Tamandua tetradactyla: one gene and its partner. The protein of the gene in region 2 interacts with the protein of the main gene of each other region in a biochemical or structural test. Links are inferred from orthologs where the notes say so. Each region holds a gene or a part of one and is shown on either strand. Other genes may lie near its edges.

Region 1 (15,503 bases), on a different chromosome or scaffold from region 2:
ATACTTCATAACTTTATTCTCTCTTACAGCTGCATAATATTCCATCTTATGTAAATGTCACAGTTTGTTTAGCCGACTATTTGTTGATGGACATTTTGGCTGTTTCCATCTCTTGGTAATTGTTAATAATGCTTCTAGAAACATTGGTGTGTATGTCCATTTGTGTCCTTGGCCTTGTATCCTTTGAGTAGAGACAGCATATAGATGGGTCCTGCTTTTTAATCCATTCTGCCAGACTATGTCTTTTGATTGGAGAGTTTAATCCATTAACATTCAATGTTATTACTGCATGGGCAGTACTTTCTTCTACTATTTTGCCTTCTGGATTTTATATGTCATTTCTAGTTTTCCTTCTTTTTACCTTTACTCATAGTCTTCCTTTCTACACTCTTCTCCACACCTCTCTCTTCCGTCTTTGTATCTCTCTCTAGTGCTCCCTTTAGTATTTCCTGCAGAGCTGGTCTCTTGGGTCACAAATTCTCTCAGTGATTTTTTGTCTGAAAATGTTTTAATTTCTCCCTCATGTTTGAAGGACAATTTTGCTGGATATAGAATTCTTGGTTGGCAGTTTTTCTCTTTTAATAATTTAAATATATCATCCCACTGTCTTCTTGCCTCCATGGTTTCTGCTGAGAGATCTGTGCATAGTCCTATTGGGCTTCCCTTGTATGTGATGGATTGCTTTTCTCTTGCTGCTTTCAAGATCTTCTCTTTCTCTTTGACCTCTGACATTCTGATTATTAAATGTCTTGGAGTATGTCTATTTGGATCTATTCTCTTTGGGGTATGCTGCACTTCTTGGATCTGTAATTTTAAGTCTTTCATAAGAGTTGGGAAATTTTCAGTGATAATTTCCTCCATTAGTTTTTCTCCTCCTTTTCCCTTCTCTTCTCCTTCTGGGACACCCACAACACGTATATTCGTGTGCTTCATATTGTCTTTCAATTCCCTGAGTCCCTGCTCATATTTTTCCATTTTTTCCCTATAGTTTCTGTTTCTTGTCGGATTTCAGATGTTCCGTCCTCCAGTTTTGAAATCCTATGTTCTGTCTCTCAAAATCTACCATCGTAGGTTTCCATTGTTTTTTTCATCTCTTCTACTGTGTCTTTCATTCCCATAAGTTCTGTGATTTGTTTTTTCAGACTTTCAGTTTCTTCTTTTTGTTCTTTCCTTGCCTTCTTTATATCCTCCCTCAATTCATTGATTTGGTTTTTGATGAGGTTTTTCATGTCTGTTCGTACATTCTGAATTAATTGTTTCAATTCCTGTATGTCATTTGAATTGTTGGTTTGTTCCTTTGACTGGGTCATAGCTTCAATTTTCCTAGTGTGATTTGTTATTTTTTACTGGCATCTAGACATTTAAGTATCTTAATTAGTTTATTCTGGAGATTGCTTTCATTTCTTTTATCTAGGGTTTTCTTGCTGGATGAATTTGTTGTCTATCTGTTCTTTGACATTCCGTTCAGCTTTATCTGGACCTTTAGCTTAAGTTTTGTTTAACAGAGAAGAATTTTTCAGTTCTTAATTTCTTGTTTCTTGCCCTGCTTGTGGGGTGCCTCCCCCCCCTCCAACACACACACTTAGGAGGGTCTACTTAGATATTATAGACCCCAGCCAGATATTCTCAACCCTCCTCCCTCTATCATTCTCACATGCAGCTTTATTCAGTGTTTTAACATAATTACATTACAGTTAGGTAGTATTGTGCTGTCCATTTCTGAGTTTTTGTATCCAGTCCTGTTGCACAGTCTGTATCCCTTCAGCTCCAATTACCCACCGTCTTACCCTATTTCTATCTCCTGATGATCTCTGTTACCAACGACATATTCCAAGTTTATTCACTAATGTCAGTTCATATCAGTGAGACCATACAGTATTTGTCCTTTAGTTTTTGATTATTCTCACTCAGCATAATGTTCTCAAGGTCCATCCATGTTGTTACATACTTCGTAAGTTTATTCTGTCTTACAGCTGCATAATATTCCATGGTATGTATATACCACAGTTTGTTTAGCCACTTGTCTGTTGATGGACACTTTGGCTGTTTCCATCTCCTTGCAATTGTAAATAATGCTGCTATAAACATTGGTGTGCAAATGTCAGTTTGTGTCTTTGCCCTTAAGTCCTCTGAGTAGATACATAGCTTTGGTATTGCTGGGTCATATGGCAATTCTATATTCAGATTTTTGAGGAACCGCTAAACTGCCTTCCATAGTGGTTGCACCATTTGACATTCCCACCAACAGTGAATAAGTGTGCCTCTTTCTTCACATCCTCTCCAGCACTTGTCATTTTCTGTTTTGTTGATAATGGCCATTCTGGTGGGTGTGAGATGATATCTCATTGTGGTTTTGATTTGCATTTCTCTAACGGCCAGGGACATTGAGCATCTCTTCATGTGCCTTTTGGCCATTTGTATTTCCTCTTCTGAGAAGTGTCTGTTCAAGTCTTTTTCCCATTTTGTAATTGGATTGGCTGTCTTTTTGTTGTTGAGTTGAACAATCTCTTTATAAATTCTGGATACTAGACCTTTATCTGATATGTCGTTTCCAAATATTGTCTCCCATTGTGTAGGCTGTCTTTTTACTTTCTTGATGAATTTCTTTGATGCACAAAAGTGTTTAATTTTGAGGAGCTCCCATTTCTTTCTTTCTTTCTTCAGTGCTCTTGCTTTAGGTGTAAGGTCCATAAAACCGCCTCCAGTTGTAAGATCCATAAGATATCTCCCTACATTTTCCTCTAACTGTTTTATGGTCTTAGACCTAATGTTCAGATCTTTGATCCATTTTTTGAGTTAACTTTTGTATAGGGTGTGAGATACGGGTCCTCATTCATTCTTTTGCATATAGATATCCAGTTCTCTAAGCACCATTTATTGAAGAGACTGTTCTGTCCCAGGTGAGTTGGCTTGACTGCCTTATCAAAGATCAAATGTCCATTGATGAGAGGGTCTATATCTGAGCACTCTATTAGATTCCATTGGTCAATATATCTATCTTTATGCCAGTACCATGCTGCTTTGACCACTGTGGCTTCATAATATGCCTTACAGTCAGGCAGCATGAGACCTCCAGCTTTGTTTTTTTTCCTCAAGATACTTTTAGCAATTCGGAGCACCTTGCCCTTCCAGATAAATTTGCTTATTGGTTTTTCTACTTCTGAAAAATAAGTTATTGGGATTTTGATTGGTATTGCATTGAATCTGTAAATCAATTTAGGTAGGATTGACATCTTAACTATATTTAGTCTTCCAATCCATGAACATGGTATGCCCTTCCATCTATTTAGGTCTTCTGTGATTTCTTTTGACAGTTTCTTGTAGTTTTCTTTGTATAGGTCTTTTGTCTCTTTAGTTAAATTTATTCCTAAGTATTTTATTCTTTTAGTTGCAATTGTAAATGAAATTCGTTTCTTGATTTCCCCCTCCGCTTGTTCATTACTAGTGTATAGAAACACTACAGATTTTTGAATGTTGATCTTGTAACCTGCTACTTTGCTGTACTCGTTTATTAGCTCTAGTAGTTTTGCTGTGGATTTTTCCGGGTTTTCGACGTGTAGTATCATATCGTCTGCAAACAGTGATAGTTTTACTTCTTCCTTTCCAATTTTGATGCCTTGTATTTCTTTTTCTTGACTAATTGCTCTGGCTAGAACTTCCAACACGATGTTGAATAGCAGTGGTGATAGTGAACATCCTTGTCTTGTTCCTGATCTTAGGGGGAAAGTTTTCAATTTTCCCCCATTGAGGATGATATTAGCTGTGGGTTTTTCATATACTCCCTTTATGATTTTAAGGAAGTTCCCTTGTATTCCTATCCTTTGAAATGTTTTCAACAGGAAAGGATGTTGAATCTTGTCAAATGCCTTCTCTGCATCAATTGAGATGATCATGTGATTTTTCTGCTTTGATCTGTTGATATGGTGTATTACATTAATTAATTTTCTTATGTTGAACCATCCTTGCATACCTGGGATGAATCCTACTTGGTCATGATGTATAATTCTTTTAATGTGTTGTTGGATTCGATTTGCTAGAATTTTATTGAGGATTTTTGCATCTATATTCATTAGAGAGATTGGTCTCTAGTTTTCTTTTTTTGTAATATCTTTGCCTGGTTTTGGTATGAGGGTGATGTTGGCTTCATAGAATTAATTAGGTAGCTTTCCCTCCACTTCAATTTCTTTGAAGCGTTTGAGCAGGACTGGTACTAATTCTTTCTGGAATGTTTGGTAGAATTCACATGTAAAGCCATCTAGTCCTGGACATTTCTTTTTGGGAAGCTTTTTAATGACTGATTCAATTTCTTTACTTGTGATTGTTTTGTTGAGGTCATCTATTTCTTCTTGAGTCAAAGTTGGTTGTTCATGCCTTTCTAGGAAGTTGTCCATTTCATCTACATTGTTGTATTTATTAGCATAAAGTTGTTCATAGTATCCTGTTATTACCTCCTTTATTTCTGTGAGTTCAGTGGTTATGTCTCCTCTTCCATTTCTGATCTTATTTATTTGTGTCCTCACTCTTCTTCTTTTTGTCAATCTTGCTAAAGGCCCATCAATCTTTTTGATTTTCTCATAGAACCAACTTCTGGTCTTATTGATTTTCTCTATTGTTTTCATGTTTTCAATTTCATTTATTTCTGCTCTAATCTTTGTTATTTCTTTCCTTTTGCTTGCTTTGGGGTTAGTTTGTTGTTCTTTCTCCAGTTCTTCCAAGTGGACAGTTAATTCCCGAATTTTTGCCTTTTCTTCTTTTCTGATATAGGCATTTAGGGCAATAAATTTCCGTCTCAGCACTGCCTTTGCTGCGTCCCATAGGTTTTCATATGTTGTGTTTTCATTTTCCTTCGCCTCGAGATATTTACTAATTTCTCTTGTAATTTCTTCCTTGACCCACCAGTTGTTTAAGAGTGTGTTTTTGAGCCTCCATGTATTTGTGAATTTTCTGGCACTCTGCCTATTATTGATTTCCAACTTCATTCCTTTATGATCTGAGAAAGTGTTGTGTATGATTTCAATCTTTTTAAATTTGTTGAGACTTGCTTTGTGACCCAACATATGGTCTATCTTTGAGAATGATCCATGAGCACTTGAGAAACAGGTGTATCCTGCTGTTGTGGGGTGTAATGTCCTATAAATGTCTGTTAGGTCTAGCTCATTTATTGTAATATTCAAATTCTCTGTTTCTTTATTGATCCTCTCTCTAGATGTTCTGTCCATTGATGAGAGTGGGGAATTGAAGTCTCCAACTATTATGGTAGATGTGTCTATTTTCCTTTTCAGTATTTGCAGTGTTTGCCTCATGTATTTTGGGGCATTCTGCTTTGGTGCATAGATATTTATGATTGTTATGTCTTCTTGTTGAATTGTTCCTTTTATTAGTAGATAGTATCCTTCTTTGTCTCTTCTAAGTGTTTTACATTTGAAGTCTAATTTGTTGGATATTAGTATAGCTACTCTTGCTCTTTTCTGGTTGATATTTGCATGAAATATCTTTTCCCAACCTTTCACTTTCAACCTATGTTTATCTTTGGGTCTAAGATGCGTTTCCTGTAGACAGCATATAGGAGGATCCTGTTTTTTAATCCATTCTGCCAGTCTATTTCTTTTGATTGGGGAGTTCAGTCCATTAACATCTAGTGCTATTAGTGTTTGGGTGGTACTTTCCTCTACCTTTTTCCCTTTTGTATTTTACATGTCATATCTAAATTTCCCTTCTTTCTACACTCTTCTGCACACCTCTCTCTTCTGTCTTTTCTTATCTGTCTCTAGTGCTCCCTTCAGTATTTCTTGCAGAGTTGGTCTCTTGGTCACAAATTCTCTCAGTGACTTTTTGTCTGAAAATGTTTTAATTTCTCCCTCATTTTTGAAGGACAATTTTGCTGGGTATAGAATTCTTGGTTGGCAGTTTTTCTCTTTTAGTAGTTTAAATATATCATCCCACTGTCTTCTCGCCTCCATGGTTTCTGCTGAGAAATCTACACAGTCTTATTGGGTTTCCCTTGTATGTGATGGATGGCTTTTCTCTTGCTACTTTCAAGATCCTCTCTTTCTCTTTGACCTCTGACATTCTGACTAGTAAGTGTCTTGGAGAACATCTATTTGGATCTATTCTCTTTGGGGTGTGTTGCACTTCTTGGATCTGTAATTTTAGGTCTTTCATAAGAATTGGGAAATTTTCAGTGATAATTTCTTCCATTAGTTTTTCTACTCCTTTTCCATTCTCTTCTCCTTCTGGGACACTCACAACACGTATATTTGTGCGCTTCATATTATCATTCAATTCCTTAAGTACCTGCTCATGTTTTTCCATTCTTTTCCCTGTAGTTACTGTTTCTTTTTGGATTTCAGATGTTCTGTCCTCCAGGTCACTAATCCTAACCTCTGTCTCTTGAAATCTACCATTGTAGGTTTCCATTGTTTTTTTCATCTCTTCTACTGTATCCTTCATTCCCATAAGTTCTGTGATTTGTTTTTTCAGGCTTTCCATTCTTCTTTTTGTTCCTTCCTTGCCTTCTTCATGTCCTTCCTCAATTCATTGATTTGGTTTTTTTTTTTTTTTTTTTTTTTTTTTTTTTTTTTTTTTTTAGAGAGAGGGAGGAAAGGAAGGAAAGACAGAGAAGGAAGGAAGGGAGGAAGAAAGGGAAACATTTTAAACATTTTCTTGTTTTATTATATTTTGTTTGTTTGTTTGTTTTTTACATGGGCTGGGGCCGGGAATCGAACCGGGGTCCTCCGGCACGGCAGGCAAGCACTCTTGCCCGCTGAGCCACCGCGGCCCGCCCTGATTTGGTTTTTGATGAGGTTTTCCATTTGTGTTCGTATATTCTGAATTAGCTGTTTCAGCTCCTGTATCTCATTTGAACTAATGGTTTGTTCCTTTGACTGGGCCTTATCTTCAATTTTCCTTGTGTGATTTGTTATTTTTTGCTGGTGTCTAGACATTTAATTACCTTAATTAGTTTATTCTGGTGATTGCTTTCACTTATCTTACCTAGGGTTTTCTTGCTAGATGAGTTTGTTGTCTACCTGTTATTTGACCTTCAGTTCAGCTTTTTCTGGGCCTGTAGCTTAAGTTTTGTTTAACAGAGGGTAATTTTTCAGTTCTTGTTTTCTTGTTTCTTGTCCTGCTTGTAAGGTGCCTTTTCCCTCCCCACCCTTAGGAGGGTCTACATAGGTATTACAAACTCCAGCCAGGTTTTCCCCGACTAAACTGGCCTCCTATCAGGGGGAGGGAGTCACCTGCATAAGCTTACCCTGAGGGTGAGTCCCAGCAGGTTGAAAGACTTTCCTGTGAAGTCTCTGGGCTCTGTTTTTCTTATCCTGCCCAGTATGTGGTGGTTGTCTATCTGCAGGTCCCACCACAAAAGATATTGTGGCTCCTTTAACTTTGGAAGGCTCTCCCTGCTGGGGGCGTGGTGGAGACAGAGAAGAGGTTTTAGGCTGGTTTTAATGGCTTCAAATTGCCAAGCCCTGGGTTCTGAATTCCTTGAGAGAGGGATTCCACCTGAGTTGGGCTTCACCCCTCCCCTGGGGAAGGCTCAGCCTGGAGATAGCCCTGAAGCCATCCATTTCTGCATATGCCTGGGGCAGTTGTAACCTGTGTAGTCCTGCCGCTGAATCCAGAGGCAGCCAAGCCTCCATAGAAACAGCCACAAAAGCCTCCATTTCACCCCCTTTCCTCTTTTTTGGTTAGCCCAATAAGCAACCTCTGCCTTGACCAGTTTCGCCTGAGCTAGGGGCCTATTTTACGTAGTCAGAATTTGTTTATTAATGCCACAATTGGTGTTTGGTTGGACTCAGTCCCTGCTACTGTTAAAATGTCTTTCCTTTCCCTCTGGGAAGCCACCTGTGGGGGAGGGGTGCCACACGCCGGCTGCCACGGCTTGGGGAACTCACGGTTCCAGAGACTCGCAGCCGGTCCAGCTGGTCTAGACTGGGGTACGCTGTGTGTCCAGCTACTATCGTGGCTCCGGGAGCTGTTATGTACTGTTTCTGGTTATTTAGTAGTTGTTCTGGAGAATGAACTAAAATGTGCACATTGCTAAGCTGCCATCTTGGCCCCCCAACTTGACATTCTTATAGGCATTTTACCCTGAGAAAAAAATATCAAAGCACTTTTAATAAATTATATATTTATTTAAAAAAAACTGCAATGGAGGGATGGTTTGGAAGACGCCAGTGGTTAATTTGAAATGTTAAGAGGGTTAGAGTGATCCAACAAATCCCTTGTGGGTACACAGCTCAAGCACTCCCTTTTTGTCTCAGTTTAATTCTCAAGAGCAAGGGAGTGAACAGCATCTTTAGGTGTTTTCTGAGATCACGGTAGTAGGGAGAGTCCTAGGGAAAGGGAGAGCATTGGATGCACCATGGTATGAGAGTGGCTGTGTGAATGTGTTGGTGTGCGGGAGATGGGAGTCAGCATTCCATTGTTGGTCTTGGGTTGTTATGAAGTAATAGATTTGGGTTGCAGGCTCTGGAACAGGGTAGGTAGTGTGCTTGTGAGTTCAAAACTCAGAAATGTAAAATTCTCTGTGAAGACATTTTATAAATATTTTCCTAAGCCTGGAAGACACTTAGGAATCCTCTCTAATTCTCTCATTTCCTTTTTAGACAAGGAAACCAACATCCAAGGAGGTAAACAGACCTGCTCAAGGTAATATAGCAAGTGACACATCTGGGACTCAAACTCATGTCTCTTCTCAGTCTAGGGTTATTTATTATATGTCCTCTCAAGACAAGTTCCACACATTCTGCCGCTGTGAACAGGCCACTCAAAACACCATCCCTGACTGTCCTCTTTTAGGTGCCCTAGCTCTCAGGACAGCCCCTGACTGATGGAGGATTCATAAAAGCAGCAGAGGAGGGTCACCTAGCAGATTAGGTCTTCATGCCAGTGAAGCTCAGAGCTGAGAGTTACACAATCATAAATCAGGACTAGGAGGGTGGAGGTGGGGTGTTAACAGAAGGAAACTCTGAACAAAGGAGGACCATACTGTGCTTCGAATGAAGTGTGTAAATGGATTGGTGAGGGGAAAAATGTCTGATCAAGAAAGTATTCTGTTTTATTGACCCCACCCCAGCAAAAGTGAGAGAAAATTTCTGAGACTGTATCAAAAACAAAGGGTACAGTAAAGCTGCCTAAAGATAAACACAACAGTCCAGGCAGGGGATTTCCACCTCGATTACCTGTATATAGCTGTCTTTTTCTCATCTTCGTATTTCTACTGCCTTGACTGCAGAGATGGCTCCCAATGCTCCCTGCGTCTGTGTAAGTTGGGACCTGAGAAGGGTGGGGAAAGGAAAAGCACCTTTAATTGCTCAGGGGGGCACAGATTTAAGGAACTGAATAGGGATGGTGCTCAGGGAGTAGGATAGCCCAGAAGGCAGCTTGAAGGTGAGCAGAAAGGAATTATTTTCAGAGTGGGCAGAAGGTTGTTGTGGAGAGAAGTCATACATTTGGCTCCTGATTTCTGTTTTGTGTCAGATCTTGAACTGTTAGGGATAAATGGTAGGAAGTGGACTAGACTTTGTGTTCAACAGGGCTGGCAAATTATGGAATTTTTTTCTTATGTCCTTTTCTCCTATCCTGATTAAGTATTCAGGGTTCTTAAGTTTAAGCTTCCCTCTCCTCCCAAAGGAAATCTTCATTTTTCTCATGTTTTTAATGACCCAATATATTACCTTCAATAAGAACATATGCATTATGAAGACAACCTGGAATGTGGGCATCACTCAACACAGAGTAGAGACACTCCAGTGGAGGAATACTAACACAGTCTGTGTCGTGTAAGCTGGGGAAATTTTTTTGAATGGGCTATGAAGGAGCTCCTCCCAGGCTTTTGGGCGATAAAACAGGAATGAGCTGCCCATCTTTCAGAATTTTCCAGTTATTGAAGTAATACTCGGATATAGTCTCCATCTTCCGTGAGGCTCTGGTCTGATTATATAGATCACGTTCTATGATAGGTAGATACAAAAACAAGAAAAAAAAAACTGGCATGTAACATTGAATATAATGTCACAGAAATATGTGACATCATTATAAAGTAATTAAATGTTAAATCAGATAGTAACAGCAAAGCGATTGTGTCCTAACCAGTTTCCTTCCAAAGTAGTTGCAGAACATCTCCATGAGTATCCAAGGAGGCTGTCAAATCTTGAAAACTTTTTGGGAGTTGTTTTTAGAGTCTGGTGTGCATTTTTTTTTAAGCTTTCTAGTTGGATTTATTTTTTGACATTTGCCACATTTTACCTCAATAGGAGTCAGGAAAATAAAGTGGGAAATCATTAATGATATTTTGGGATAAATATAGGGTGTGGTTATGAAGAAATGAGCCTTCTCTTGTTTGGCTTATACCTGGGTCTGGAGGCAGTACCAAAAGAGAAGTGCCAAGAAAAGAAGGGTCACTGATTGGTGGGAAAGAGCAGGAGTGCTTAGCAGGCAGTAGAAGGGGAGGTGCAATGAAGGTAGGGTTGAACGTGTGGCAGATAATCTAGGAAGCCACCTCTAGGTTCTCATTGCCAAGGTGAACATTCATTCCATGGAATGGGAATTAATGACCTTCACTGCCAACATAAATGACTCAGTGAAGATAATCAGTGAACATATCAGTTCTAGGACCAAGGTTCCTGTGCAGGACCACGTCCTGTTTTTGGGTCCGAAGACCCTAAAGCCCCCAAGAAGGCTTTCATCTTATGGAATCGACAAGGAGAAGACCATCCACCTCTCCCTGAAGGTAGTGAAGTCCAGTGATGAGGAAGTTCCCATATTTCTGGTGGAGTCAGGTGATGAGGGGCAGAGGCAACTTCTCCAGGTGTGGAGGTCCAGTTCAGTGGCTCAGGTGAAAGAGATGATTGACATAGACCATGTCAGGCCCGAGACCCAGACTGTGACTTGCAATGGAAAGAGACCAGAAGATAGGAAGACCATGGCAGATTATGACGTTAGAAAGGGGAATTTACTCTTCCTGGCATTTCCTTCAATTAAGGGATGATTGCCCTTGTATTGGAGTGATCTCAGGAAAAAAAGTGACTATTTCCTTTTAGCTTTTACTCACCAATCATGTCCTTTATTAGTTTGCCAAGAGGAATAAATAGATAAATATAGAATTTAAGATTTGGGTGGGGTGGGAAGGAAGACTGCAGAATACCTTTTCACCTTTATTATTCTTTGATTTTAACATAATTATAAGGCAGGATAGTGTATAAGGTGTTAATGAAGATAGAAATGAACTGCCGAGGCTCATGAGAGACAACATTCAAATCCAGTTTGTAATTTAGTTATTTCATGGTTCCCTTTGATTCATAGAGAAACTCCTATTTCCTTTCTTATCTGACAAGACATTAAGTTTTAAATTGGGATCCCTGCTTTTCTAATTTCTATGTTTTCCATTTATGTTTGACTCAGTGCTTCATGTAAAATATCACTCAATAGTTGCTGAACTAAACTGAATTTCCATGGAGAACAGTGAAATGAATTATTAACTGAACTCTGACTAGATCACAATCTAATTCATAGATAAATTAGAAGTTAAATTAAACTTTCTTTCTCTCTATTTAAGGCTGTTTGATATAAAGTGAAACCTGGCACAGAAATGCCTTGCCTACCCTGCATGTCCCATAACAGTTAGAATTGTTCTTATTTCTGTAGATGACAGTGGGCATGGCAGCTCATTTCCATGGGGAGCTAGAGAGTCTGTGCCTCTTGTGGGGACTTCTTGGGGTCAGATGTGTTTCAGGAGGGAATGGACTTTCTGAAAGGTGGAGGAATGTGGACAGTCTCTGTCCTGTTTGTCTTACGGTGTGGCAGGTCTTCTTTAGGTCAGGTATCAGTCTGGATGAGGGGGTAAAGGGTTGACCTCTGGCCTGGCCCCAGAACTCTGCCAAGTTCTGCTGAAGGGGCCTTTTCCTTTCTACTTCCTTCACCACCAGGTCCTGCTCCTCTCTTGGAAACTTGAGTTACGTCCTCCATCTTACTCCCTCCATTTACTCTTCTGCCTCACAGCCTGACTCTCAGGTCTTGCTGATTGTCACTTTCATCTTTTCTCACAACCTGAGACATGCCTACCTTATTCTTCATGAGTTCTAGTCCCTTCTGTTCTTTAAAAATTGCTCAGAACCACTTCCTATAGGTGGGTTTCCCAACTTAACCACACCCAGGAGAACTCATCACACTTAGGAGTGTTCCTCATTACTCTTCTGGGTCAGGTGCCCTGTCGTGGGCACTGGTCACCTGGCCAGGTGGGTATTATGTCCCCGTTTGGATGGTTTCCCCAAGAAGAGGCACCATGGCTCCTTTTTTCTGGATGGAGTTTCATGCAGGGTAAGGTTTATGAGTTCCTTATCAAACTGAGAACCCCTGATAGCAGAAACTGGGAGAAAGCTAATAACGGTAAGCTTCAAGTCACACATCATCTCATGCACACATGGAGTCTGCAGGGATTGTTACTTGTCTCCTGAGGATAAGGAGATCTCCCGAAATCATATCTCCTCCCTTATCAGCTTGGGAGAAAAGTTCGAAGGCCATTTCCTCCTCCCCAAACTTCTATGTAGAGAAGATATTTAGATTTTCCCTCATGAATCTGAACACTACCTGAAAATGGGAAGGGTTAATCTCCCCCATTAACGTTGGGTTCCCTGAGGACAAATCTTGCAGATTTTCTATCAGAAATGAACAGCTTGAAGCGAAACTGACTGACTCTCCAACAGCATTTCTATTCCTGGGTCCTGGGCTGACAGTTTCCTCCTTCCCTTCCCCATTCACTGTCCAGCCTGCCTTTTCTCCAGGCTCCCCAGGAACCTCCTTGCTGCCCCCTTCACCTCCTTATTCCTTAGAGTGTAGATGAGCGGGTTGAGGGCGGGCGTGACCATGGTGTAGAAGAGCGAGACGAACTTGCCTTGCCCTTGATTGTAGCTGTGCGTGGGTTGCAGGTAGGTGTAGATGGCCGAGCCACAGAACAGGCAGACGGCGGTCAGGTGGGCCCCACACGTGCCCATTGCTTTCCTCCGGCCTCCGCGGCTCCTCATGCCCCACACAGCGCGGGCCACGGCGCCGTAGGAGGCCAGGATGACCGCGGACGGCAGCAGTAGAATGACCACGCGGGCGACGAAGATCTGGCGCTCAGTGGATTTTTCGTCGCCGCCGCAGGCCAGCTTGGGCAGCGCGGGCAGCTCACAGAAGTGGTCCAGCTGGAGGGGCCCGCACAGCGGCCGCGTAGCCAGGGACGCTGTTTGGGCTGCGGAGTTGGCTATGCCACCCAGCCAGGAGATGCCGGCTAGCGCGTGGCAGAGGCCGGGCGAGGCGAGCCCGGCGTAGCCCAGCGGGCGGCACACAGCGGCCGCGCGGTCCAGCGCCATTACAGCCAGGAGGACGCTCTCAGATGAGCCCAGCGCCAGCGACGCACACAGCTGGGTCATGCAGCTTGCGGGAGTCAGCCGGCGCGCCCAGCCCTGCAAGTTAGCCAACAACGGCGGCACCACGCTTGCGGTGAAGCCGGCGTCCACCAGGGCCAGGTGGCACAGGAAGTAGTACATGGGCGTGTGCAGCCGCGGGTCGCGCACCGCCGAGTTCCCCGCCAGGGTCATCAGGTAGCAGAGGACAAGGGCGAAGAGGCCTGGCTGCAGGGAGGGCCAGTCGGAGAAACCCAGCAGGAGGAAGCGCTGCTCTGTGCTCAGGTTGGCCTAAAGGAGGAAAACTCCCAGAATGTTTGAAAGGACCAGATCTAAAAGGGTGATACTATCTCTCCAGGCAAATGAGAACCCGTGATGTAGGTGTGGGGCAGGGAAAGGGACTGATTCATATACCATGTTTTTGTAATCTCATTTACAGACCTGAATTCTTAGTTTTGGAAGGAAGCCAAGTATTTGGTATACGTTCCTTTATGTATTTACAAGATCCTATGTGGAAGACAGAACCTCTGTTTTACAGAGGGGTAAACTGAGGCCCATAACGGGAAGTTGTCTTAAGACAGTAACTAGCCTGTGGATCCGTGGGACATACTCAGGCCTGCCTGCTTTCCAAATCTGGTTGTATTCCCAGGGGCCAAGGAAGAAATCCCTCCCGCATGACAACTCTTCATGTTGTTGAAAGCAGATGTCACTCTGTGTTGGGGCCCAGAAGTAGCCCTCTGACTGTTGGCAAAGCCATATCAGAATAACCTTGGAGACACGGCTTGGTGCCCTGTGAAATGAGGTCCAGCCTGTATGCACCTTAACTAATCCAGCCTTACTGTGAGAAAGTTCTGCCTCTGCAGTTTCAGGCAGGTTAGTCAATGCTCACTCTGCTCTCAAGGACAATGACTCTGGAGCCCAAAGAGAGGTGTATAGAAAACATTCCTATGAGTAATAAATGGTTCCTGGGACAGGAATTGTGAACCAAACTTTGTAACTTTGCAGGCATGACAGATATTAAAAATAATCTTGCTCTGTTATACTCCCTAAAGCAGTTCCCATGGAAGAGCACAATAAATAGATGAATGTCAGTTTATTTGGTAATGTTACTCCTGATGAGCTTGAGTCCCCTGACCCCACTTAACTAACTTCTTGTGTCTGTCCTTTCTTAATCCTTTGTAGCGCCCCTTCTTCTCCCCTGTTCCCTAGGGAAATCCTGGCAACTGAGACCCTCTATCCCTTCTTTGAAAATGTGTGGTGCCTAAAAATAAGTATAATACCACAGGGTTGGTCAAACCAACACTGGGTAGATGAGAACTATCACCTTCCATATTTCCGATGCTCTGCCTTTATTAATGCAACCCATCACACTTCTGCCTACTGATGCTTAATCTGTAATGTATAGAGACTGCTTCCATGACCATGTCCCTCCTGCCCTAAGTCTTGAGTGGTGATTTTGATGAGCACAGATCAGCACATGCATTTCAGCCTTAAATCCATAGTCAGCTGTTAGAGGAAGTCATGAGACCTGAGTTCTAGGTAGCATAACTGCTATTTGGCACTTATTTGATATGGCAAAGTTACTTCATTGTCCTCTGACTCCATTTTTTTCATGTGCACATGTATTAATATGATTAAGAACAAGTTTCTGGAGCTGGACTATCTGAGTTAGAGTCACATAGATGCCATGTCCTAGCTGAGGCAACCATAGACATGTTACTTAACCTCTCTGTGCCTCAATTTTCTCATTTGTCAAATGAAGTGAACTAAGTGGGTTAAACAGGTAAAAAGTTCCTAGAACAGTGCTTGAGAACACATAGTAGGTACTCTATTAAAATGCTAACTATTACCATCCCTATTTTACAAATGAGGAAACAGGATTTTAGAAGGATCCTGCGCTATTAATGACAGAGCTGGTATGAAAATGTATATTCCTTGTATTTATTAACCCTGATTTTTACCCAGGTTAACAAAGTTGCCCAAGGTCATCTGGCTTGTATATACTTACAGGATTTGAACCCAAATCTGTTTGACTCTGAGTTCCTTGCATTTTTTTTTTTTAACACATCCGTGTCTGTTATGTTTGGGACCATGGAGGATAATAGAACCTGC
Region 2 (16,627 bases):
CTAGGGAGCAAAATCACACCGGCTGAGAACTCCTATTATAGTCCTTCACATTACGGCCTCTCTCTGATTTCCCATTCTTACAAAGAGCCACTCTTTCCCCCAACTCCTACACTCAGGCATACTAAACCTTTTTCAGTTCTTCAGATCTGCATCATGATGTCCCAACATGAGACTCTCAGCCTGGAACACTCCCCATCTCTGCCTTCCCGACTCAACTTTAATTCCTTTCCCTCATGGAGAATTTATTAACCTCTATTTTATACCTTAGTCTTCTATTTTACAACATTCAATCAGACCTACAATTGGCGTCTTTCTTCCCCACTAGGCTACAGCCCAGCACAGAGCAAACAATAAATATTTATTGGAAAAGTTATCTTCTACTTTACATTTTTATATTAGTAAACTTCTAAAATAACTGGTTTGGGGTTATATATGTTTTATAGCCATTACACATTTTTGAATAGAGGAATAGTGAATAAAACAGAAGGAAAGTCATTATTTCTCTATTAGTTTGATTTTGAATTTCTGCATGCTTTGCTATAACATACCTAGTTGAAGCTGTTTCTTATTTATTACAATTTTGATATAGTTTTCTTGAAATCCAAACGTTTCAGCTATTCTGTAAAATAAAACCATTGAAAACTATAGGAAAACAAACATAGTAATTATTATCCAATGAATAGATTTTAATCATAACTAAACATTTTACACAAAACACCTAGTAATCATACTTTCTGACCCACAAACATCACTTCATCATAAAGTCAGCCAGAGAGTTATCAAAACTCCATGAGACAATGTCATTTTTAAACCATCTGTTTTACTACTTTTTTCCTTATGAAGTGGAAGATCACGATGCTTAATATATATCTGAACAGAAGGGCCTTATCTGTCCGCCAAGAGAAAATCCATTCCCCAGACCTTCTAAAATCCCTTGGAGGAGCCAACAACAGAGGAGTTGTTCTATATAAATCATCTCTTCACATGTGTTAAATAAATGGTATTTCCTGAATCCATCCCTAACAGTCCTGGTGTAGACCAAAGAAGAAAATGAGAAAAATAAGTTTAAGAAACACTGACTAATTAGCCCAGGAGATAAAATACCTACCACTTAAGGATACACACGTACAAGAAATAACCGACAAGATCTCAAAATTAGGATTTCACTAGTTAGTGACAGGCTAAATCACTTTGCTGAAGGTCACAGCAAGTTATTAAGAAATATAATTCAAAACTAATGAGCTCGCAAACACCTGGCTGTCTCTTTTATATATGACTCATTCTTCATTCAAATTTGTATCAAGGACCTATTATGTGATGAGCATTGAGCTCAGATCTGATCTAAAGTTATACCAAGAAGTAAAAAAGAGTGTTATGAGTCTGGAGTTCCCACTGTGCCACTTAACTACCATTGTAAGCCTTTACAGGTCATTCAATCTCTAATTCTCAATTTTTTTCTTCCATAAAATGGAGATAATAATACCCAGCCCTATCTATCTCATAGGATCATCACAGAAGACCAAAGGAGTGAATGTAAAAATGGCCAAGACCACCCTGGACACCAGAGCACACAGATACTTACTTAGACCTCAGTTCCCTGCCAGTGATGTGCAATCGGGTCTCCAACAAGTTTTTCCTATCCTGCTTAAAACATTAAAAAATTAACTGTACTTGAATTAGGTATTTTTTGAGTTATTACACCGTGTCTACAAGATCAGAAGGTTAATATCAAAGGATGCAAATACTTAGGTCACTGATTGTGGACGAAAACAATGCATGCATAGAGGAAGAGGCCTCTTGAACCTAAGTAGGAACTGGGGACCTGAAAGTCCTCAAGGGGGCAGTAGTTTGGTAGCATCAAAAAACAAAATAAAACAAACCACTTGGTGCTAGGCAGGGCTTCAGTCTGGTGAAAAGGTACTTCCTTAAGGGATGTGTCACATGGCCTTCTTTATTCAAGTTTTAACCAAGGGAGATGGTCTAAGCTCTACAAGGACCTAACCACCTTCAACATTAGGGGCCACCTCTATGAGCAAGAGACATTTCCTCCTCACTGTATACTCTGTGGCCATGACAGTAATGATAGACATGCTTTTTGAACGTCTTCATTCTCCGCTGGCTGAGCATAAAATGAAAACATAGAATCATTAGGAACACTTGAGGCCATCCAAATCTTCTGCTCAGATTCCATACTCACCAATCAGCTTTCTAACTAGTAGTTTGTTTCCCAGATACTTGATACTAACAATGAGACTAGTTCTGTATAAGTATAAGCCCTTTAAATCAATAAACAGGTTTTCTGAGAGACACTGCATACTTTTATTTTTCTCATAAAGGCCTTTATTTTTCCTAGACATTTTTAACAGCTGTATTGATATAGTATAATAAAAAACTTGGCTGGTCTTTTCCCCAGTTCCTGGAGAAGCAAACTGAATCTTTGGAATTTCCTGTGAAAGGACTGCCTTCTATTCTTCATGGAGAACCTAGGACCACATCTGATAGTTGCAGGGTGGGGCCAGCAGCCTGAGAGTAGGGTTTAGCCCTACCAGAAAGATCAACCAGGTACTTGGGGGGTGGCGCTTTGAGCCATGTCACATCAGCCCAGCTCCCCAACATCTGGGAGATTATATTTAATTAATCTGATTGCCTTCAACCAGGTGGAGATTGAGTCTATTAGTCACAATTACATAATGAGGCCACTTGAAGTCCCAGTGACCTTCCATGATTGAAATAATACATCTCTGTGCTGGGAGGGTGATGTGCTCTGACGCCTCGATGAGTGGACACGTTTGAGAGCCTCCCAGACCTCGACCAATACGTCTCTTCCTTTGGCTTCCTTTTATATTCTTTTACTATAATAAAACCATAATCCTAAGTATAGCACTTTCAGTGAGTTCAGTGAGTCATTCCAGCTAATTATCAAGCCTGAGCAGGTGCTGGGAACTCCCTCAATCTGTGGCCAGTTGGTCCAAAGTGTGGGTGGCCCCTAAACCTGTGACGGGTGCCTGAAGGACGATCTTATAGGAGATTTCCCTTAACTTGCGGAATGGGCCTAATGGTAGTGAGAGTCAGAATTGTACTGGACTGAGTTACTGCAGTATTTGCAGTTGGTGTCAGAACCTGCTAGGAACACTTGAGGCCATCCAAATCTTGATAGATGTTAGCTGAGGAAGCTAACTAAAGTTTCTGATACCCTTACAACTGAGATATAATTTACATACCATAAAATTCATCTGTTTAAAGTCTAAGGTTTCTAGAATATTTACAGAGTTGTGGGACCATCATCATAATCCAATTTCAGAACATTTTCATTATCCTCTCCCCTGGCAAAAATCATACCCCATACTTTTCCCAATCTTCCCACCTCTTATTTCATCCTTACCTTCCCCATCCACCCAGCTCTACTCAACCAGGAATCTGCTTCCTGTCTCTAAGAAGTTGCCTATTCTGGACATTTCACATAAAAGGAATGTGTCTGGTTTCTTTCACTTAGCATAACGTTTCTGAGATTCATCTGTGTTGTAGTATGTATCAGAAGTTTCTTTTTACTACCAAATAACATTCCATTCATGGATATACAACATTTTGTTTATTCATTCACCATCCTTTTGTTTTTATATACATAAATGTTCATTCATAAACAGGATATATCATATTTGCATGTGATTTTATGTAAATGGGATCTGGGAAAACAAACTACCAGCTAGAAAATTAAAATTAAGTTGTAAGTCAATAAACGTTCAACATGCAAAATAACTTAAAGAAGTGTAAGTCTGGATTATAGTTTTTTAAAAATCACAACTTAACTTTTCACTAAGTTAAACATTAGGACTTATGTTACTCACTTTTCTTACTCTTGGTGGTAAAAATACCTCAATTGTAGCAATTCCTGTTGTTTTATAATTTTCATTTCCTGTTCCACGTTCAATTGCTTTGCAACGTATTTCTTCTATTATTTTTTCAATCTCACTTTCACACCATTCTAGCTTGTCAGAGTATTTCTTAGCAAGGTCCTATCAAGAAAAATCAGAAAACACAGATCAATATTGTACCAACTTGGAAAAAAATATATAAAAGACAGAATGGCACATGTAGGACTCAAGGCAATAAACTCTGCTGAGTTGCGGTCATGTTTATTAGAGTAAAATCCAGTTTGCAGCTTGTCATCTTGTGAGGCACAGAGAATTCAAATTCAGGGGGTGGGGGGGGAAGCTAGAGAAACAGGCCCAATAGAAAAAGTGAAATAATTGGGATTACTATAGGTGAATAAGAAGGGTAAGCTGTGATTTATTGACTGGAATATGTAAAAAAATTATTCAAGGAATAGTGAACTATTTATCTCTACTGCAGGAAAACAAAAAGAGAAAAATGGAGAAAGCATTTTAATTGTAGTTATAACAAACCAGGTAAGGTTTAAACAATTTTTTTAACAGAAAATTCTGAATCACTGGTACTGGTAATAAAATTATTTGTAAGGAGGGCTTTAGAATTGGTAAAGAGAACTTAAAAGACTAAAGGGGCCTCAGAGAAAGATCTGAACCAGTTATTATATGAAGTGAAGTCACTATGTTTCCTCTCCAAGAATATCTGCTTTTAAGGTTTAAAAGCTCATTAAGATCTGAGAGGCTTCACTCCTCATAAAACATTAAACACTCTAAAGAACCCTAAAGCCTAAGGTTTTATAAAATTTATAATGCAGTACTATGCAGTGCTTAAAAATGATGGAGCAAAAAAAAAAAATGGAGTTTATGATGGGGGAGATATTGATGGTCTACATAATTAAAGCAGAATGCTGAGTATTTTATTTTTAAGATACTATATACCTACTTGTAATACTTAGATATTTCAACATTTATATAAAAAAACACTGAAAGAATATAGCACTATTAATGATATATATATTTTAAATGTATTCCTTATTTTTTGAATTTAATTATACACATTTTTAATGTATTATTTTTAACATCAGAAAACTAAGTTTTTTTGAAATAACACTTTTAAAAAAACTAATTACTTTCCAAGCCAAGAAATTATAATAAACAAATTCAGAAACAAGGTCATAAGGTAGGTTGCAAAAAATAAAAGTGAGATTTGCCAGGGGCAGAGGACAAGAAAGACAGAAAACTCTTAGCACCCTGACACAGTTTCGGCCACTTCTCAACTACATCACTGCAAAATGACAGAGAACAATTTCATGCCCTCATGATAATCTCTTGTCCCCAATAAATGCTACATCATATTCAGGATACTCAGACTGAAAAAACTAAGAAATCATGACAGGATTTTACAAATTAATAGATTTCTATAAAAAATGATTGGTTTTTGGATTAGGTAAGCAGGCAAACTTCAGTTTCTAGAAATTTCATTTTTGATGATGCCATAAAAAACTGAGGCATAACCATTAAAAAACATATATTTTGGAAAAATGAACACTGATAGCCACAGAGTAAAGAATTGGGAAAGTGGAGCAATGATTTTATATAAGACCATGATAAGCAAGAGGACTGAGAAACAACCAAAACAATGGCGCTCTAAAAACATAAAACAATAACTTAACTAGCACTAGTACTGCTGAGCTGTTAGGTCAAAATTACTTCCTAGATAAATCATTTTATGTAATTTTGTGACGGTATTAAAAACAGCGTATGCCTGAAAAATTAGAGAACATTCTTAAATGAATAAAATCTTATTTAACATAAATAAGTCTGTCAAATCCTAGCAAAAAAGTGGGTACCTGCTTTATCACTGATGCTTCTGGTTATGCCAAAACTTTATTTGGTTGTGCCTGGCAATTTCTGGTAACTTCAGAAATTTGTTTACTAGAAAGATCTATAACACTGCTGATTACTTGTCTTAAAAGAAAAATACCTTCAATGCCAAACCAACTTCTTTATTTTCATCTGTATATGGGGGTTTCCAAAGTTGAATTCTGTCTTCCCTTAAAAACTGGGTCAATTTTGCTTGAAGGTATTTCTTTTGTGCCATCCTGGAAAGCAAAATTGTATAAGATTAAAACCCCACAGCACATTTTGAAATGCTTTATAACTTACTTAATACACTGAGGTATTCTGTAAAATAAACTCCCTCCTACCCTCTCTCTCATATTTATCTAAATTACTAACGCTTTAACTAGCTCTAAAGGTTTTAAAAAAATTATGTATATAGTAAATCCAAAATTGCCAATATATAGCAAGACTTGTTATACTTTTTTATTTCTTAATACATTATTACCTGATCTGAGAAAAAAAGAACTAAAAGATGAATCCCTAAAGTAGCAAAACATTTCAAACTTAAGTTCTAAAGATTGTATTGTGCAATAACTTGAGAGTAACTTTTATAAATAAAAAGCATTGAGCTCATAAATTCTTTTGTATTTTGGCTAAATTTAATTAAAATAAAAGATTGACCACCCTGGTAAATAAATATAAAGAAAAGCCAGCTTGAACCATGAAGTATCAATAATAAATAATATCTATACCTGAATTTATAGAATTAAAAAGTTTTACAATTCTAGAAAAGTTTTGCATGACATTTTGTGAAAACAGTATTATAGCATCTTTACAAATACTAAATTAAATTATAACACTAGTTGAAGCATCGTTTTACTACATTTAATTCATTACTATATTCAATTCTAACTCTAGTTGGAGCTTAGAAAACTGAGGTCCCAGGTTTGTAAAACGACTCAGTCACAGCCACAAAAATTAGGCTGGAACTTCTGCCTACAATAATGGACTCTGCATTTTATAATGCAATCGTAGGTGCTTTTCTGTTCTCTGTATGTAACTACTCTTTCCCAAAGAACCACATGCCATCAGCAGACCTGTCTACATATAGCACTTAACTTACGATCAGAGCAATCAGTGTTGTGGGTGTGACTGATGACAAATAGTTGATAAAGTATAGTGCAAATAGTAGAAAGGTAAAAAGTTAATAGCTCCTGAATGGTGGAAACGAGATCTAGAGAGGAATAAAAAAATCTATATATCTATTATCTATCCATCTATCTATTTATATATATATATAAGGGGAAAAGAGACATAGGATGTATCAGGTTTTCTTTTCTCCCTCTTTTTTTTTGGAGTAATTAAAATGTAATATAATTGATTGCGGTGATGAATGAATAATTATGTGATGATATTGTGAGCCACTGACTGCAGACTCTGGATGGACTATATGGTATGTGAGCATATCTAAAAAAATTTGCATTTAAAGTATATATAGTTAGTATTAGGGCAGGTCAGGGTGGCTCAGCAGGCAGACTTCTCACCCGCCATGCCAGAGAGCCGGGTTGGATTCCTGGTGCCTGCCCATGCAAAAAAAAAAATAGGGAGCACAGGTGGTTCAGTGGTAGAATGCTCACCTTTCATGTGGGAGACCGAGGGTGGATTCCCAGACCATGTACGCAAAAAAAATTTATATATATCTATGTTAGTATAACCTAGACAAGGACTTGTTTTCTATTTAAGGCACTATTTCACACACACATATGTACTCTCAAAATCCAGTTCACCTGACCTTTAAATCAAGTTTGGTAACTTAAGTGTTTTCAATAAATAAACATATTTAAAAGAATAGTCCAGTCTGTTATACTAGTTTGGGACAAGATAAGGGAATAAAAGGGAGGAAGGAACTAACAGGGAGAGTGCTGCCTGCACTGGGGCGCTGCCCATGAAAGAATCCTACTTTCAAGTACTAACTGCTTCTCACGCTGAAAAACTTCATAGTACTTATGAGCAGTACCTTTTCGAAGGCAAATAACTCACATGACCACTACACACGGTTATGTTCCTTACTCATATCTCTTCAGAATTTCTGAATAAAATACCAGGGCAACCCACTGCCGGAATAACTTCATGGGCTACTGGAGCCAAGCTATCTGGAAGGCTGAATGCACGGCCCTCAGAGGACCCACCCAAGCCACCGCCTGCCAAAAGTGTTTCACAAACCTAGTCTGTGTCCAACACATCACGCAGCAAATGAACAGCTTAAGATTTCATTTTTTCCCACTGTCTTTAAACACAAGACTTCAGTGACAGATAACAGACTAAGCACTGCTACAGATTTTAAGTACACTGAAAAAGAAAAAAGCTTAATAATCAGTTTTCTATTTTAATGGATAATTGAGAAAGCTAGTTTCCTGCCTGTCATCCAAAACAACCAAAAAATGCTGAAATCCATTAACATCACTGTTACAAATTGAAAGTGAAATGGTAGAAACCACAACTTTAAAAGTTTCACTTTCACTTTTGTAAGTTAATGGATCGACGCCACCTTGACCCAAAGCTTTTCAACTGTATCTACCCAAAACCCCTTAAGTTTTCTTAGAAAGAGCAATAAAAGACTCTTCTATTAAAAGATTAAGAGTAAAGGAAAGAGATGAGAAATACAGAATCATATGGTCAAGGTTCAGGAAAATCAACCGTATTTACTCATTAAACAGCAAACAAACAAACAAAAAACCTCTGGCTTTCACTGCAAATAAATCCGAAAGGCTTATTTGAAATAACAGTGTTATGAGTCAAGCTTTTGGTCTGGCTAATTAGTTATACATATATATATATTTATTTATGTTTTCCAAAAAAACAATACTCCAAAATTCCTTTTTTAAGACTCCCCTCCCCACCGCCCCAGCCCAAGGCAACCTTAGCAAACCAAAAGACATCCGATAGCCTGCGCGTCCCGAAGCGCCCCGCCCGGCCGCCGCCCCGGGGTCGGACCGGGCCTCACGCAAGAGCCGCTCTCCAGCCTCAGCTCCCGGCCAACCCCAACCGGGTCGGGGAGGGGCGTCCGAGTCGCGCCAGAGCCACTCCGGGTGCCGGCGGGCGTCCGGAAAATGCCGCCGCGGCGGCTACAATTAAGCCGCCGGGTGAGTCCGTCGCCTCCTCACCTCCGCCACCGCCGCTCCTACCCGCGACCAGCCGAGTGCCCGGATGCGGTGGCGGCCGCTGTTTGTTTTCATTCCGGGTGAAACCGGCCTCCGCCTCCGCAGTCTCACAGCCCTCGCGCCCACGAGGAGGCGGGGTGGGGGCGGGGTTGCGGGTCTGGGGCCGGTCGGGAAGGCGGGGTGGGGCGGGGGCGGGGCCACGAACGCGGGACGGGGGCGGAGCTGCCCGGGCGGGCTCGCCCGGAAAGCCGGAAAGAACAGGGCCCCTGGGAAGGGTGGGGTGGGGCGGGGCGGGGGCGGGGCCGGGGAAGGGGTGGGGTGGGGGAGGGTGGGGCCGGGGCGGGGCCAGGGCGATGCTCTAGGCCCAGGTGTCTGGGACCTTTTATCTGCGCCCCGCCCCCTGGTCTAGGCCGAACCAAACCGGATGTCCCACCCACCCCCACGCCTCTTGTTTCCCACCCTACCCTTGATAATCACACCTTGATAATCCCACCCGGAGCGTGCGCTCGTGGTGAAATTGAACAGGTTCACCCTACCTGCTCGACCTCTTTCGCTAGAGCTTTTTGCCCCCAATTACCATATCCATTACCGTTATCAACCGAGAAGGCAACTTTCAAAGTGGAGTGCGCTGAGCCCGCCACTTTGAAATAAACGTAAGATAAGGTCCATACCCTTATGTCTAGTGGAGGACAAAGACAACTGTAGACACACACACAAAAAAGCAATTTGTGAAATGTTGTGAGGAGAAAGCAGATCCCAGATGGTTGAGTACGAGCTTGAAAGATGGTCAGGCTTTTGGTAGGCGAGGGAGAAGGATAAGATAGAGTACATCTTGGACCCCCGAAAGTTTGCTTCATCCTTCTAAATCCGGAAGCCAATTGTCAAAAGACAAATCGGAGTCCAGTTGCAGTTAATTCAGGACACCAAGATTGCTCCACCAAGGAAACCAATCTCAAAAATGAAAGCAGCTTGGAGGTTGGGGAATTTGCAAGCAGTTTTATAAACAAAAAGAAAGAATTTGACTAGGTTCTGTTGATTGGAGCAGGGACCTGTTAGTCTTGTAGGGGTGGGTTAAGTGTAGCGGAGCTGTATTAGTCAGGGTTCTCTATAGAACCAACAGGAGATACCTGTAAATAAAAGATTTATGAAAGTGTCTCATGCAACGGTGGGAATGTAAGAGTCACAAATCCGTAGAGTGGGCTGTGAGGCTGGCAAATCCCATGAAGGGTCTCGTGGAGTTCCACAGGAGAGGCTTGGGAGCTGAAGAAACAGTGAAAATTCTTTTCTTCTCCCTTAAAAGTCTTCAACAAATCAAATCAAATCCAACTGATTGTATTATCTCTTTGGGCGTGGGGTAGGGGGAGTGGGGGGGAGTGCCCTTAGTTGATCTTAGATGTAGTCGGCCACAGATACAATCAACTGACTGATGATTCAATAAACACCTTGTGGTTTATCAACCAGCCACAAAAGATCCTTGCAGTAGCAGTTAGGCCAGTGCTTGCCTGATGAGACAACTGGCCATCATCACCTGGCTAAAGTGACACCAAAACCATCACGGGGGCTTTATTTTATTTATTTAACTTAAAAAAAATTTTTTATTAGCTCTGCAAAAGTAAAGCTTCCAAAAATTTTGTACAATATGTATGACTATGATATGTGATTTGTCAATATGGGGGCTTTATTTTTAATTGAGCTACATATGCTCAACCAGAGGCTCAACTGGCTTTTGGGGGTCCAGAGTCTTGGTAGGGACTTCTGAAGAGGATGTTTATCATATAATTCAATGCGAGTTCAGAGAATTGAACTTTTGTGTTGGTTCTGAGAAAAAATAGGAAATTTTTTTTTGTTTTTTTTGTCACCATCCTTGGACCTGTTCCAGAATCATTGTCACAGTGTGGTGCTTGAAAGCATGGATCCTTCAGTAAGGCACCATGACTCCAGCGAGTATGAGAGGTGATCTGGAGCGGATTACTTAACCCTTTCTCTGTCTCAGTTTCCCCACTTGTAAAATGGGGATAATGACAGCACTGCCTTTGGTTGTGGTGGGAATTCCGTGAAATAATGTATGTAAAGCACCCAGTGATTGTTGCTTGTGGTTGCTGCTGTTAGTATTGACTTTCCATCCACCCTCTCCCAAGAAATGTTCCGAGGCTAGCTTCAATTATGCTAATGAACTTCTCCTTTTTTGTGACTAGTTGTAGGATCCTGGATAATGATTGCTCAATTAGTGAGGGCCAATTCTAGGAATATCAGCCCGATGATGAAATGCAGAATCAAGTGGAACAATGAGATACCAGATACAGAGAGTTCAATAAAGGGGGTGTTCTAGTTTGCAAGCTGCTGGAATGTGATATACCTAAATCGGCATAGGGGAATTTATTAAGTTGCAACTTTACAGGCTCTAAAGCCTTGAAAATGTCCAAATTAAAACAAGGCTATAGAAATGTCCAATCTAAGGCATCTAGGGAAAGATATTTTGGTTCAAGAAGGCCAATGACATTCAGGGTTTCTCTCTCAACTGGAAAGGCACATGGCAGACATGGCGATATCTGCTAGCTTTCTCTCCAGGCTTCTTGTTTCATGAAGCTCCCCTGGGGTCGTTTTCCTTTTCATCTCCAAAGGTCTTTGGCTGTGTGGGGTCTATAGCTTTTTGCAAAATGGTTCCCTCTTAAAGGCTCCAGTAAGCAACACCACCTTGAATGGGTGGAGACACATCTCCATAGAAACCATCTAATCAAAAGTTACCACCCACAATTGGGTGGATTACATCTCTATGGATAATCAAAAAGCTCCCAACTAGCAATGTTGAATGAGGATTAAAGAACTTGGCTTTTGTGGGGTACAAAGATTCAAACTGGTACAGAGGATATCAGGATAATCCAGGCATGAAATGATGACATGGATCTGACTGTAGACAGAGAGGAAATAAAAGGAGGAGGGAAGGAGTGCAAAACAGAGAGAACTCTGCAGCGGAAAAATAGGAGTTGAGGACTGATTGCATGTGAAGGATGAAGAGGAGAGTTAATTCAATGAAATGTAACAAGTAATGTTAATGGAGGATTTGAACAAGGTGCCTTCATAGACGTTTGAACTGCTTTCTGAAAGATGTGTTAATTAATGTATGTTCAGTGTAGTTTGGGTTATTAAATGTAATATGTTAATTTCTTTGAAAATTGCTGAGCCTTGTGCACTGGACAGGGGATGCATTCCAGGGGAAATAGCTTGAGATGATCCTTCAAGCAGACCTAATACTATTTCCAAAATGGGTTGTACAAATGCAAGAGGTGTGCAAAATATTACTCATTAACCAGAAAGTTTGCTGTGTTAAAGATGTGTGCCTGGGTGGAAGATGTCATCAAGAGATGGAGTCTATCTCTCCACCCCCTGAATCTGTTTTCGCCTTGTGATTTGCTTTGACCAGTGGGGCAATAGCAAATGTGATGGAAGCAGAGGCTTGAGAGTGCTTGGGCTTTGGGGCTTGCTCTCTCTTGCTGGAGACCACCATGTGAATAGGTCTGAGCTCACCTTCAAGAGAGTGAGAGGCCATATGGAAGAGAACCAAGGAACCCCCAGCTAACAGCCTGCTCACTGCCAGATATGTGAGTGAAGCCGTCCTAGATCCAGCTGACCACAGACACATTGGAAAGTCCCCCAGAGATCACCTGGGCCAACCCAGACAGAAGAATCACCCTGATTCTATGAATCATGAGCTTGATAGAAGTTTTATTTTAAACCGCTATGTTTTGGGATAGTTTGCTCTGCAACAAAAGCTAACTGACAACAGCATTCATGATCAAGTAACACTGCAGTCAGGCCTTATTCATTGGACAAGAACAGTTATCCTAAGAAAGCAAAAACTCAAAATATGATTAAAAAAATATCAAGGGCAAAAGCCATTTGCTTCTTTGTGACTGTAGTAAAATTTGATTTTTTTCCTGAACGTACTACGAAGTCTACATTTTTCAATGCATTGATCTTTTTAATAAATGATTTACATTTTTTCTTTATAGTTCATGTTGGCATGCATTCTCACTTCTTAAAACAGCTTTATTGAGGTATAATTCACATACCATGCAGTTCACTAATTTAAATTGTATAGTTCAATGTTTTTTAGTCTATTCACAGAATTGTGCACCCATCAGCACAATCAATTTTATAACATATTAATCATCTCCAGGATGAACCCTGTATCCATTAGTAACCACTCCCCAAATCCCTCAAACACCTCAGCCCTAGGCAACCACTAGTCTACTAGTTCGGTTTGCTAAAGCTGCCAGAATGCGATATACCAGCAATGGGTTGGTTTTTACAATGGGGATTTATTAACTTAAAATTTCAATTCTAAGGCCATGAAAATGTCCCAATTAAGGCATCAACAATATGATACCTGGACTTTGAAGACAGACTGTTGGCATCCCAGACACCTTTGTCACATGGGAAGTCACATGGTGATGTCTGCTGGTGGTTCTCTCCTGGGTTTTGTTGTTTTCAGCTTCTGGTTCCAGTGGCCACCTCTGTGAGGTTCTAGGGGTACTTGTTTGCTTCTCCAGGGCTTTTTTCTCTGAGTTCGCTCAGCTTTTTCTGTCTTTTATCCTCTCATAAAGGACTCCAAAAAGGATTAAGACCAACCTTGAATGGGTTGGGTCACATCTCAATTGAAACAACCTAATCAAAAGGTCCCACCCACAATAGATCTCACACCCACAGGAATGGATTAAAAGAACGTGGCGTATTCTGGAGTACTAATAGCTTCAAACCAGCACATCTACTTTCTGTCTCTATAGAGCTACCTATTCTGAACATTTCATATAAATGGAGGCATACAATATGTGGCCATTTGTGTGTAGCCTCTTTCATTTAGCATAATGTTTTTGAGGTTTGTACAGGTTGTAGCATGTGCCAGTACTTAATTTCCTTTTTAATGCTGAATAACATCCCATTGTATGGGTATACATTTTGTTTATCCATTCATCAGTTGGTGGGCATTTGAGTTGTTTCCACATTTTAGCTATTTAAATAATTTTACTTTGAAAATTCATGTACAAGTATTTTTGTGGACATACATTTTCATTTCTCTTGGGTATATTCCTAGGAGTGGAATTGCTGAGTCATATGGTAATTCTATGTTTGACATTTGGAAGCAAGTGCACCATTTTACATCCTTACCAACAAGGTGTGAAGGTTTCAGTATCTCCCCATCTTCAACAACACTGGTCTGTCTTTTTTATTATAATCATCACAGTGGATATAAAGAAGTAACATGTGGTTGTGATTTGCATTTATTTAATGAATAATGATGTTGGGCATGTGTTTGGTTTGCTAATGCTGCCAGAATGCAATATACCATAAATGGGTTGGCTTTTACAAAGGGAATCCTTACACCACAAATCTACAGTTCCAAGGCCATACAAATTGTCCAAACTAAGGCATCCAGAGAATGATACCTCAACTCAAGAAAGGCCAATGGATCTGTTCCTTGCCTGTATTCTCTACCTTGGTTAACAGCACAGCTGTGTGTCTTGTCTCCCCAGCTTGAAACCTTGGTGTCAATCTTGACTCTTCTTTATAGTCCCCTGTCCAATTCCTCTCACTTTTACTTCCAAAATGGCTTGAGAATAAGTGCTGACTTTCCCAATCCAGGGCCATGGCTTTAATTCAGGACCTTACTACCTGGCATGCAAACCACTACTGCCTGCAACAACCCGCTAACCAGTGTCCTCTCCAGTTCAAACACCACAATTTCATCAAAGTGCTCTTCATAGAGAAGCTGTTTTAGAATGCCCAGTTCCCCAAGGCCCCTCCCAGTTTGATTCCTGCCTTACCATTTAGCCTCACCATTATGTGGCGCTTGACGACACCTCTTTGTTATAGCCATGTCCTTTCCCATGTCAGCCTAAAAACATTGTGGGAGCCAAAGATTCACAGTTCTCCCCATTACCCACAACGCCACTTTCCTCTCCATGAGAACAGGTTGTGAACACACACACACACACACCTTGTACACACATTGTTCTTTTTATATAAGTGGAATTTTTATATAGTTCCGTCTCTTTTTTTTTAATTAAATTATAGTACATTTTGGATCTCTGAATGTCACTTCATATAGATATGGTCTTTCTCGTTCTTTCTAATGAAATAAATATTATAACATTTAAATATTTCTATACTGACTTTCAGTCTATTTCCATGTATTAGGTATAACAAACAATGCTACAAAAAATCATACCAGTATATATATCATTGCAACTACAAGTATTTCTATAAATCGTTTTTTTTTTTTTTTTTTATGTGGGCAGGCATCAGGAACCAAACCTGGGTCTCTGACATGGCAGGCAGGCGAGAGCTCTGCCACTGAGCCACTGTTGCCCACCCACAACAAGTATTTCTATAAGATAGAGTCCCAGAAATGGAAAAGCTATTGCCAAACTGCTTCCCAAAAAGTTGTACCAATTTACAAGCCCATCAATAGTGTACAAAAGAGCCTATATCCCTGCAACCTCATCAAAATAGGATAATTGAAAAAAATTTCAAACTTTTTTCCAACAAAAATCTATCATAATTTTGCCAATCTCATGGGCGAGAAAATGGCATTCCATTATTTCAAATTCCCCTTGCCATATTATTAATGAAGCAGACCATGTCTCCTGTATTATTTTGGCCATTTGCATTTATCTTCCTTTTATTCATATTTGCTTGTTTTACTATTGGGTTCTTTGTTCAATAATTTGTAGAAATTCACTATATATTACAAATATTTTCATCATGACATTGTTACAAATATTTTTTCCAGGTTGGTTTGCTTGGTCTTTTACCTTTATTTACATGTTCCACCACATGGTAGTTTTACATATAAGGTAGTCAAGACCACCAATAGTCTCTGTAATTGTTCCTGCTTTTTTGTATTTTGCTTAGAAAGGACTTTGCCAGGTCAATATTATGATCTATACTTTTTATTAGAAGGTTTATAGTTTTTATGTTTATAACTTTAATCTCTGTGTGAAATTTTTTATTGTCCAAGGGGAGCTTTTTATTCATGTAAAGACTATTTTAAATGAATATTCAATTTATCAGAGTTGAAAAATTTTAAATATAGGTTTTCTTAAGCCTGTTAAGTTCAACTTACAAATTTTGATGTTCTATTTATAAATCTGGACATTTTTGTATAAAACTAAAATAAATTTCTTACAATTGTTTCTTGAGTAAAGTTTAGAAACTTAAGTTGAACAAATGAAATTCCTTTAATGTGTGCTAGTTATAAACTTAGTTCATTACATTCCCTCAAACATTTTAAATTGAAGTGTGTTTTACTGTCTCTTGAAAAAGAAGAACAATGGAGCAAAATAGAAAGTCCAGAAAGGGGTTCTAATATAAACAGTTCATCCAGTATATGATAAGGAAGGATGGCATCTCAAATAAATGGGAAAACATCAGTCTATTCAATATATAGTATAGAGATTGCTGAATAACCATCTAGAAACAAAATAAAGTTTGATCCATACCTAACACGGTATACCAGGATGAATTCCAAGTGGATCAAAGATTATAACATAAAAAAAAGAAAAAGAAACCATATAAGTTTTAGAAGAAAAGGGAGAGAAGAAAGACTTTTTTTTTATGAACACACAATACCTAGAAGCCAAAAAACAAAACAAAACAAAAAGCTAAATTTTACTACTTAAAAATCTGTATTTAAAATTCATAAGTAGGGCAGTGCGACGGTGGCTCAGCAGGCAGAATTCT

Evidence for each region.
Region 1: the proteins of NUB1 (region 2) and ubiquitin D-like form a complex in vitro, tested with the Homo sapiens proteins (6 studies listed by BioGRID, with this or other methods). The link is inferred for Tamandua tetradactyla from reciprocal best matches to the Homo sapiens genes NUB1 and UBD.

The regions. Positions count from the first base shown.
Region 1 is NC_135331.1:84,199,685-84,215,187, reverse strand, and holds ubiquitin D-like, read left to right. Parts: upstream 1-9,243; coding exon 9,244-9,270; intron 9,271-10,528; coding exon 10,529-10,996; downstream 10,997-15,503. Other genes in the region: putative olfactory receptor 2I1, read right to left, coding at 12,762-13,682. UniProt on the Homo sapiens protein: Ubiquitin-like protein modifier which can be covalently attached to target proteins and subsequently leads to their degradation by the 26S proteasome, in a NUB1-dependent manner.
Region 2 is NC_135327.1:195,341,007-195,357,633, reverse strand, and holds the start of NUB1 (NEDD8 ultimate buster 1), read right to left. Parts: upstream 8,754-16,627; 5' UTR 8,666-8,753; coding exon 8,646-8,665; intron 5,987-8,645; coding exon 5,869-5,986; intron 4,014-5,868; coding exon 3,846-4,013; intron 1,642-3,845; coding exon 1,583-1,641; intron 620-1,582; coding exon 549-619; intron 1-548. UniProt on the Homo sapiens protein: Specific down-regulator of the NEDD8 conjugation system. Recruits NEDD8, UBD, and their conjugates to the proteasome for degradation. Isoform 1 promotes the degradation of NEDD8 more efficiently than isoform 2.